2 linked regions of the Nothobranchius furzeri genome follow. The protein of the gene in region 2 purifies or fractionates together with the protein of the main gene of each other region. This does not show direct contact. Links are inferred from orthologs where the notes say so. Each region holds a gene or a part of one and is shown on either strand. Other genes may lie near its edges. The genes, in order: traf7 and map3k2.

What was found.
Region 1: the proteins of map3k2 (region 2) and traf7 purify together in Homo sapiens (affinity purification with mass spectrometry; 3 studies listed by BioGRID and IntAct, with this or other methods). This does not show direct contact. The link is inferred for Nothobranchius furzeri from reciprocal best matches to the Homo sapiens genes MAP3K2 and TRAF7.

What each region holds. Positions count from the first base shown.
Region 1 is NC_091752.1:71,713,852-71,718,199, forward strand, and holds the start of traf7 (E3 ubiquitin-protein ligase TRAF7), read right to left. Parts: upstream 2,920-4,348; 5' UTR 2,797-2,919; intron 1-2,796. UniProt on the Homo sapiens protein: E3 ubiquitin and SUMO-protein ligase that plays a role in different biological processes such as innate immunity, inflammation or apoptosis. Potentiates MAP3K3-mediated activation of JUN/AP1 and DDIT3 transcriptional regulators.
Region 2 is NC_091743.1:83,211,162-83,215,716, forward strand, and holds the start of map3k2 (mitogen-activated protein kinase kinase kinase 2), read right to left. Parts: upstream 2,816-4,555; 5' UTR 1,976-2,815; intron 745-1,975; 5' UTR 727-744; coding exon 672-726; intron 415-671; coding exon 296-414; intron 161-295; coding exon 120-160; intron 43-119; coding exon 1-42. Other genes in the region: sumo1 (small ubiquitin-related modifier 1), read left to right, coding at 4,403-4,414. UniProt on the Homo sapiens protein: Component of a protein kinase signal transduction cascade. Regulates the JNK and ERK5 pathways by phosphorylating and activating MAP2K5 and MAP2K7. Plays a role in caveolae kiss-and-run dynamics.

The sequences.
Region 1 (4,348 bases), on a different chromosome or scaffold from region 2:
GACCGCTAAAACAGTGGAGTGGTCGCCGACCACATCAGTTGCGTCACCAGAGGACATAACAGGTGATGCACCCCGATCCACAGCAGCGAAACGCATCAGGCACAAATAAAAGAATAAAAGACAGAAAACATAAAAGGAAATGAGCCGACATGAACGATCGCGTGTTAAATTAGTTTTTGAGGTGGCGACACCTGATGTGATAATGTTACTGTGGCCATGCTCAGGACGCAGATGTCTGGAGCGCGTCAACAATCAGAGCTTTGCATGCACAAGCTGGTTAAGGTTAGGATGGGGGTGAGGGGAAGGTTAAATTGCAAGAGGGTAAAGGTCACAATTTGGTTAAATGTCAGTTTGACGGCGGGTGTCGGTACCGACGCTCTGGCACAGCGCGTTGCCCCCCGACGTGCAGGAGCTTGTCACCTGCTGACAGCAGGCTGCTGTCTTTTCCATGGACTGCATCTTGCCGGTCATTATCACGTGACAGCGACTAGTCGATGACAGGCATAACAAGTCACTATAGAGCGGTGAAGTCGACTAGTGACTAGTTCATACAACCCCTGCTACTGCTCCCCAGAGTGTTCTGCAGCATAATCAGCACCTTCTCTTTGAACTTGATATCAAATTTTCGCCTCCTCTTCGTCTCCGCACGGTTAAAGTTACCCTCGCGGTCTAGCCTCGCGGCTGCCAGCCTTGAGTGAGGAGCAGGAGCCAAGATCACCAAGCTCCAGTGAATCAGCCTGACACCGCCCCTCCTTCTCTCTCCCGGGCTGCTGAGGAGCACAGCTGAACTGAATCTACCTGATGAAGCAAACACCTGCATAAAAGGGCTGTGCCTTCAGCAGTCTGGGAGGCAGCAGTGCAGGGGTTCTGCTGTCCTCCTGGTTTTTGTGTGTTTTCAACCCCTTTCGTTTAGACACATTTGGATTTGTTGGAGTTTTAAACTGTGATAGTTTTAACTCTTGGTGATAAAGTTTGGATGATCCAGGGGGATCTTTTGTGTGCTCGGTTTTTTTTGTAAAGGTTAACTTTGGTTTGTGCAATTTTACTGACTTCGGTTTTGAACACCTTCGTGTGAGTAAAGCTTTTAAAATAAGCTTTTACCAGGTGTTTTAATCAGTAAATTGTCTGGGACTTTTATCAACTTCGGGCTTTTAGAACACCTTCGTTTCGGTAAACTTAATATAAGTTTCTACCAGGTGTTTTTATAGTTGATAATTCGTGATGTTAACCTTTTAGAGAGATCTGTTTGCTTGTGTTTTAATACCTTTTGTACGAAAAAACCCATTTTAAACTCTGCCGCCAGTTCTTATGTTACCCCCATCCTTCACATTTTTACCAACACGTGTCGGAGACGTAACTCACTGGCAAATCAAAAGTGAGACGGATGACACAACCGCCCCCCGTACTTGCTTGTTACCACATTCCACCCGGCCACAATAAAAAACCGGCCATTATTCACCTCCGCCGACTCCGACACCGGCCAAAACGTGATACCCGGCCGTTAATTAAATATAGGCTAATATTAGAGGATTTACGGTATATATATATCTGTAAATAAGACTGATTTATTGTGAAAAGGACATGAGAGGAAGTGAGGATGACATCATAATAAGGTAACCAATGAAAGACGTGTGTTGACCTTTAACCTCATAGATGCACCAATAAAAGGGGAGCATTGTTGTCTACAAAGGTGCTAGCGCCAGTGAAAGCCCATTGAAACATGAAGCTCTGTATCTATCGTTTATTTCCTACCTTTGAACCTGGGACTTGGGATATTTCGACCGACCGCTGCGTACGACACTCTGCTAACACGGTAAGGCGTCTGTTGTCTTTTGCTGTGAATCAATAACCTAATCATCACCATGTGTTTACACTACCGGCATGCTTGCTACCATACTGGGATTTAGCCTGAAACAATGGTGTTTGTTGTAAATGCTCTATAAGCGTACGTACGTACAGACTTAACTGTACATTTTAATAAACTAACCTGGTGTTTATAGGTTCATATAGACACAAAATCTTGTTGTTTGTTTTTGTTGCTCAAATTAAAATGTAGGACTGCCTCCAATTCTGGCCTCCTTCCAATCAAGGACTGAACCAGGATGTGCCTGAGTAAATAAAGGCCCGGGCCTGTATTAGAGGATTTACGGTATTTTACCTCATCAGCCCTTTTGGGCGCTGGTGCCCCACACTGAAGCAACATTTCAGGTTTTTACTTCTCTTCTGTAAAGGGGAAAGCCATCTGGGACGTGGAAACCCGTCTACGAGAGTTTTAAGATAATTTTTATAAACCGTGGCTGATGTCTTCACACCTAAACGTGCAGGAAGACGGGTTTAGGGTTAGACAGGCAGAGAGACCGTCCCGGACACGCAGATGCTGATGTAAACAGAAAGGTATGCGGGTCCATCACCTCCTGCGGGATCTGTGATCAGCTGTTGACGCAAGCCTGGAGGTTCCCGTAAAGGGAAACCTCCTCCTCCTCCTCTTCATGGAGCAGAAGGGGCGTAACGTTTACAACCAAAGTTCGCTAGCTTACCCTTCAGACAACAAACACACCCGAGTCCAGCGCATCTGCACGTTAAAACAGAAACCGCGCTCATCAGCGGGCAGCTTGGTGACAAACTCCCGCTGCTGTGGCTTTGCTAGCTTGGGTAAGCTAATTTCCAGCCCTCCTCAGAAATCACTGCCGCTGACAGTCTGACCTACTCTGCTAGCCACCGGAAACCGCGAACACCAGCCTGGCTTTGTTGAACGTGTTTTCTACCACACCAGCTCGAACAGCCTCGGTAACTGACCATCGTTTGTCTCTCCGGCGCTGCTCCAGATCTGCAGACGAGTCTGAATCTTCCTTTTTACTTCACACGCAACTCCGAATGCCCGGGTGCATTCTGGGATGTGTAGTAGAACGTTCCCTGCCGCTGGGATGTTCCTCTGTGATCGCGCACTACACTACCCACAGTTCCGTTCGCAGAGCTCGCTAGACTCGATGGCCTGAGCTGCCTGTAAATTGCGCAACCGTCTTCGCGCAGATTTCGGACATTAAAAAACCCCACCGGTTTATAATTAAAACCGCGAAGATCTGGAAGTCAGCGAGGGTCTGTCAGGTCTGCTCAGGTGTTCGCAGCGGGACCAGGTAGAGGTTCGGAAGTCAAAGCGGAAGCTGAAGCCATAAAACGAACCCGGACATGTCTGTGGGATACCACACCGAACCCAGGGATCGGAGTTATTTTAGATGGAAAAACATGAGAAGGTGTCATCGTCGGAAGTCGGTGACTTGATGCAACCTGCTGGGTTCCTTATATAGGAAACATTATTTCTGATTGGCTTAATGAACTGACCTGAATTGGAATGTTTATTATGTGAAGTGCCTTGAGACGACTCTTGTCGTGATTTGGTGCTATATAAATAAAATTGAATTGAATTGAAAGAAATTAGATAAAAATGTGACCTAAAAAAAGAAAAACTACGTATCCAAGTAAACATTTCTGAAAGTGGATTCAACATATTTTGGGCGACACTGCTGTTTTATTCCTTTATTTATTTAATAATGTAAAATCGAGGGGGGGTTGCAGGGACAAAAATGTTGTCCTTGTCAGAACCTTTCAGTAATCACAGTCCCAGGGTTTTAAACAACAACAACCTTTATTTATAATGTTAATATTAAAAATCACGCAAGCCTGAAACCCACAACCCTCCCTTTAAAACTCTGTTTATACAACAAAGAAAAGCGCTTTAACTTGCCCAGTCAGGGCGACCCGCTCAGGGTCTGAGCTTCCAACGCCGTCCAGCGCCCCAGGAATCAACGTGCTGGCGGCGGGCCAGTTAGCTCCTCTGACCTGATGTTCCTCGGTAGGAGCGCAGAGCATAAAGGGGAGTGAGCGCCGCGGACCACGGTGCCCGTCTAACAGCCCCTCTGACTGACTGCAGGAGGCAACCAGCCTCCCCTCCTGTCACAGGAAACACTCACCTCACCCACTACCTATCTTCGTCGCCGGCAGCCCTAACCAGCTGCGATCGACCCCTCCCCCATCACCTGAGTACCGTGTCCAGCAACTCGAAACAGTCACTCCCTCTGTCATCCAAAGACTGACTCACAACCCATTTTAAGCTCCACTGTGCCCTCATCACTGCAATCATTGCCTGCACCTGGGTCCAGCTGCACACCGGGGCTGCATGTCCCGCCCCGCATCACACTCCCCCCTGTTATGTCTGAGAGGACTTGTCCCCAAGTCCTAAAAATCCATTTTATAGTCCCTAGTCCACACGGGCGGCCTTCTTTGGCGTCCCACAGGACGCTCATGGCCCATGTCTCCACCCTGGCCTGCAGCCCCCTGCTGGACCATTGGT
Region 2 (4,555 bases):
TTCAGATCTTCCAGCTTGACGGGTCGAGGAAACTGTAAGATCCTGCAGAGAAGATGAGAAGTCAGAAGGCTGCAGCTGCTGCTGGTCTGAAGGAACAGCATTAGAGAACAAATGTTTACCTTTTCTCTCCTTTAAATTCAAACTTCACTCTCACATCATTCTGTGGAGACAAAGTCACGTTGAGCATAAAAACCATTGGGACGACGACGTGGGTTTTATTTTGAGATCTCAGAAACATGTTTGCTTTGTTGAGCTTTTCTCACACTTCATGTCCAAATCACATTTCTGTGGTTACCTGGTTCTTGGGCGAGGAGGCTTTGGGTTTGCCTAGGTCCGACAGGAAGGTAGCAGGGCGGCTGGAGCGTTGCAGTTCGGCCAAGTCCTGCATGATGGAGTTCAGGGCCTCCTGCTCATCTGCAAAGATAAATTAATCGGGTTTACAGATTATCCACAGCAACAAGTGACACTTTGATCATTATGCTAACAATCGCAAACCTAAAAGATAAAAACAAATGAGCCCCAGCAGGAGCTCATGACTCGTCGCTTAAACAGATGTCATAATAGAAAAAGAGACATTGTTTACAGAAAAAAAAGATTATTTAAGTTTTTAGACAAAAGACTCAGCTGGCTCTCTGCCAGCTGTAACATGATCACAAAGCTCGCACACATACCCATCATCATGGCACGGCAATTGACCCAGGAGGCCAGGATAGAAGACTCTCCCATCAAAGGGATTCCTTTCTCCTGAAACAGCAACACAACTGGATAAATAATAGCATTCAGTTTAATGAAGACGCAAGTTAGAAAGCATGGAGCTGCTGACTGATCCGCAGATCTGTAATTGGTGAGCCAGAGGCAGAAAGAAAATGCATAAATGGGGATTATTGGAAATGTTTGCTCTGATGTCTTTTAAGGGAACAAAATCTTGTGGAAAATTGTTTTGTTCCTATGATCCAATTCAGGAATGACACTGAAACTGGCTCATCGTATGCGTCACTTGGTTTGATTTTTGCAGAACCAAAAATCCTTATTTCTCAACAAATATGGGGGTGAAGTTACTTTTTTGGTTGCCTTTAAATGCAGTGAGCATTCTTGTCTTCTTTTATTTCATCCTGTTATGAGCTCATTTTTTTACACCCTAACTCACCTGTAGAGTCCAAGAAGCTCTACTGTTGCTTATTTTGGAGGTGTGTTTGCAAAAAGCAACAAGAAACATAACATGCTTTATGGAAACTATTCTTAACATGGACTTCAGAGGTTTTCTGGCTTTTTGGCCGTTTTTATTACCAAACAGCTTATAATACTACATCTGCAGCTACCTGCTTTATAATAAATACAGTTTCATTGTGTTCAAAGATGTATGGAAACCTCTGTAGGTTCACCTGAACACAAGTTTCACAGACAATTATAGTGTTGGCAATTCTTCACTAAAGTGGCATCATTAACACAGAAGCTGGCTGGTGTTGACGCAAAAACAAAACACAAACCTGTAATTTTAAATCAGTTAAAACGTTTAAGGAACGGCAGATGCACTAATATTCCAACTAGAAATACACACAGGTATTATTTCTCAGAATATTAAGAATATTGCCTTAATTACTTTATGGTATTGTTGTTATTAAAGCCTTTAGAAGATAACTGTATTTGTAACCCATAAGCCCCGGAAGTTAACAACTGTTGCTAGCTAATTTTACATTACGACTCATGCCAGGATAACATTTCAAAATAGCTGCTATCTTGACATGAAATTCTTGAAAAATACAATTTGTTGTTTAAGCAGCAGGTTTTGGGGGATGAAATGGTAATGACTCCACTGTTAGCTGTCAGGCAAGGGAAGTTATCAGGCTAATCAAACGCTAAAGCTAACTCCTAGCCGCTGGGCTAACCGAGCTAACCAGCACTCGCCCGCGCTGCACAATTATTGGAACAGTTCATGAACGAAGTGAGATTGTTTTTGTCTTCAGCCTAATCCCACCTGATGAATAATTTAATCTCGGTTTATTTCCTCAACCACAGGACCGGTGACAGGAGCCCCGGGCCCTGTGGAGAGCCGCTGGAGGAAGCAGAAGTTTGTCAGTCCGCTGTCAACTTCACTCGAGTCTTGCTGGGCCACGACGACGAGGCCCGGTAGCTGTTGGTTCAGCCGCTTCGTCTCTCCAGGAGGGGAAGTGACAGGGTGATATTTATTATGTTCGGCACGCTACACTCCAGTGCGACAGTTCAAAGGCTAATTCAATCCACAGATCTCATTTTGTTGTGCTACACAGCCTGCTTAACTGTACCTTGCTCGATGCTGACCCCTAGTTTCATCGAGCTAACATGTACGATTAAAAACACACCGGAAATAATTACGCCGTGTTTATAAAATAAAAGCAGCACGTCTCGTGGTGGAAGGCAAAGTGGCGTTCTGTGTTTTATTTTGAAACAAATGTTAACCGAAAGTACTTTTATTTTGAGAAGCTTAACTAGTGTTAACCCCTAACCTCACTGAGGGTCCAACAGAAACATCATACAAACATGACAAGTAAAAATATTTATTAGATTTTTGAGCATTTGTTTGGAGCTTCATTTCAGTTCCAATTTATTAAATAAGTTGTAAACACAGTGTTTTATAGTATAAATTAAGCTTCCGTTTAGACAAGTCACATTTCCTCATAATTTAAATTCAAAGCAAACGATACTCAAGGTCAATTCAGGTCATTCAAATGCCATCCAGTGTGACTTGCTGTTCCAAACACACTAGGCCCACTCATTATCTGATTCATTCCAGTGACTTTTTTTCCGGAACTGCGCTGCTCTGGGTGGCTGCATGTTGGAGTAGCTCTGTTGACTATATGTAAGTTTAGCCTTTTCTTTAGCATTTTTTCTTCTAGTTTCTCAAGAAAAACTATTTTTTGGACACTTTACTTTTCTGTTTCTGGTGCTGTGAAGCTTGGAGGATTTTTACTGCTATTTTTTTTAGCTTTTTTCACTTTTTGAGCATTTGTTATGATGTGTAACCATGGCAACAAGCTGGTTTACAATCGGGAGCAGCTGATTAACATTGGAAAGGCTGAAATAATACCTCAACTGAAGCCACAAATCCCAAATGAGCTAAAATGCAAGAAGCGTGGGTGCAGAGCGTGAGCAAAACGGAGACACAGAGAGAGAGGAAATTCAAACCATCTCTTCCATCGATCATAATGGGCAATGTGAGATCACTGGTCAACAAGATGGAGGAACTCCAAGCCCTTTCAAGGACTCAGCCAGAGTTTCGGCTGTTCGGGAACCGCTGGAGGAGATAATGCAAAGAAGGATTCTCCAGAGAATCAAGAAAATTATGGACAACCCTGAGCGTTCTCTTCACAAGACTGTCCGACAACGGAAGAGTGTCTTCAGTCAGAGGCTTCTTCAGTTTCGCTGCAACACTGACCGCTACTGGAGATCCGTCCTGCCAACAGCCATTGTAATATACAACAAATCTTTGATGGCTTGATTATTATTATTATTCTGATCTACTACAGCAATCAATTTCCCTCTGGGATTAATAAAGTATTTTTGAATTGAATTGAATTGATTACATGCTGGTCCAAGTTCATTCAGTAGTGATTAACTTGACCCCTATTAATTCCAATTTAGTTCAGTTATTTGCAGTCAAATCCAGTCATGTTATGATAAAATTTAAATTGTTTCATTAAACACTATGTGTAAATGTGCATTCAACGCATAATTTTACCACTTTATATTCCCAAACAGCAAAATTCTGCTGCAAGAAGAACAATTCGTTTGATTATCTTTGGTGTGTTCTTGCTGTGTTGAAATTCTAATTCCATCTTTTAGTTTTTTTAAACACAGAAAGGTTTTATTTACCTGGGTTTTGCAGCCGCAAACGAAACGTTGCAGGTAAATAAAATCTTTCTGTGTTTTAAAAAGAACTAAAAGATGGAATTAATTTGATCACATTTTAAACACACCGCTCACTTCAGATCAATAACACTAAAACTGTGTCTTGCGATGGGATCAACATATTAACGTGCGCCTCATTGTATGATTTTTCAGATAAATGCAGTAATAATGATTATTAGACTTTTTTATTCATTGCAATTTGTTTGAATTTACATGAGCAAATGATTATAATTACTTTTAGACAATGATTGCTACTTCTGATAGTTTGAACATTTTATCTAAATATTATTTAAAAATATTTGTTGTTCACTGCTTTCATTAGAAGCGCAACAACAGCATAAAAATATAAAAAATACTATTGTTTCTCTAATCTGAAGGGAGTTTTATTGTGAAAAAACGTCTTTTCGTCACTTCCGGCTAATGTCGAATTCCCATAACATCTAACGAGAGCTGCAGCGGAAAGCTGAAGGTACATCTATTGTCAGGAAATTTGAGCCAAAACACAGAAAATAAGAAAATGTCAGACACGGTAAGACCCCAGTGTTTGTGGAAAACAACAAATCTTCTGTCGGAACTGTTCAGAAGACGCACAAATTGATTGTTTTTTTAGGCTCGTTTGGTTATCTAACATGCTACTAGCCAGCTAACGTAGCTTCAGGGACACAAAACA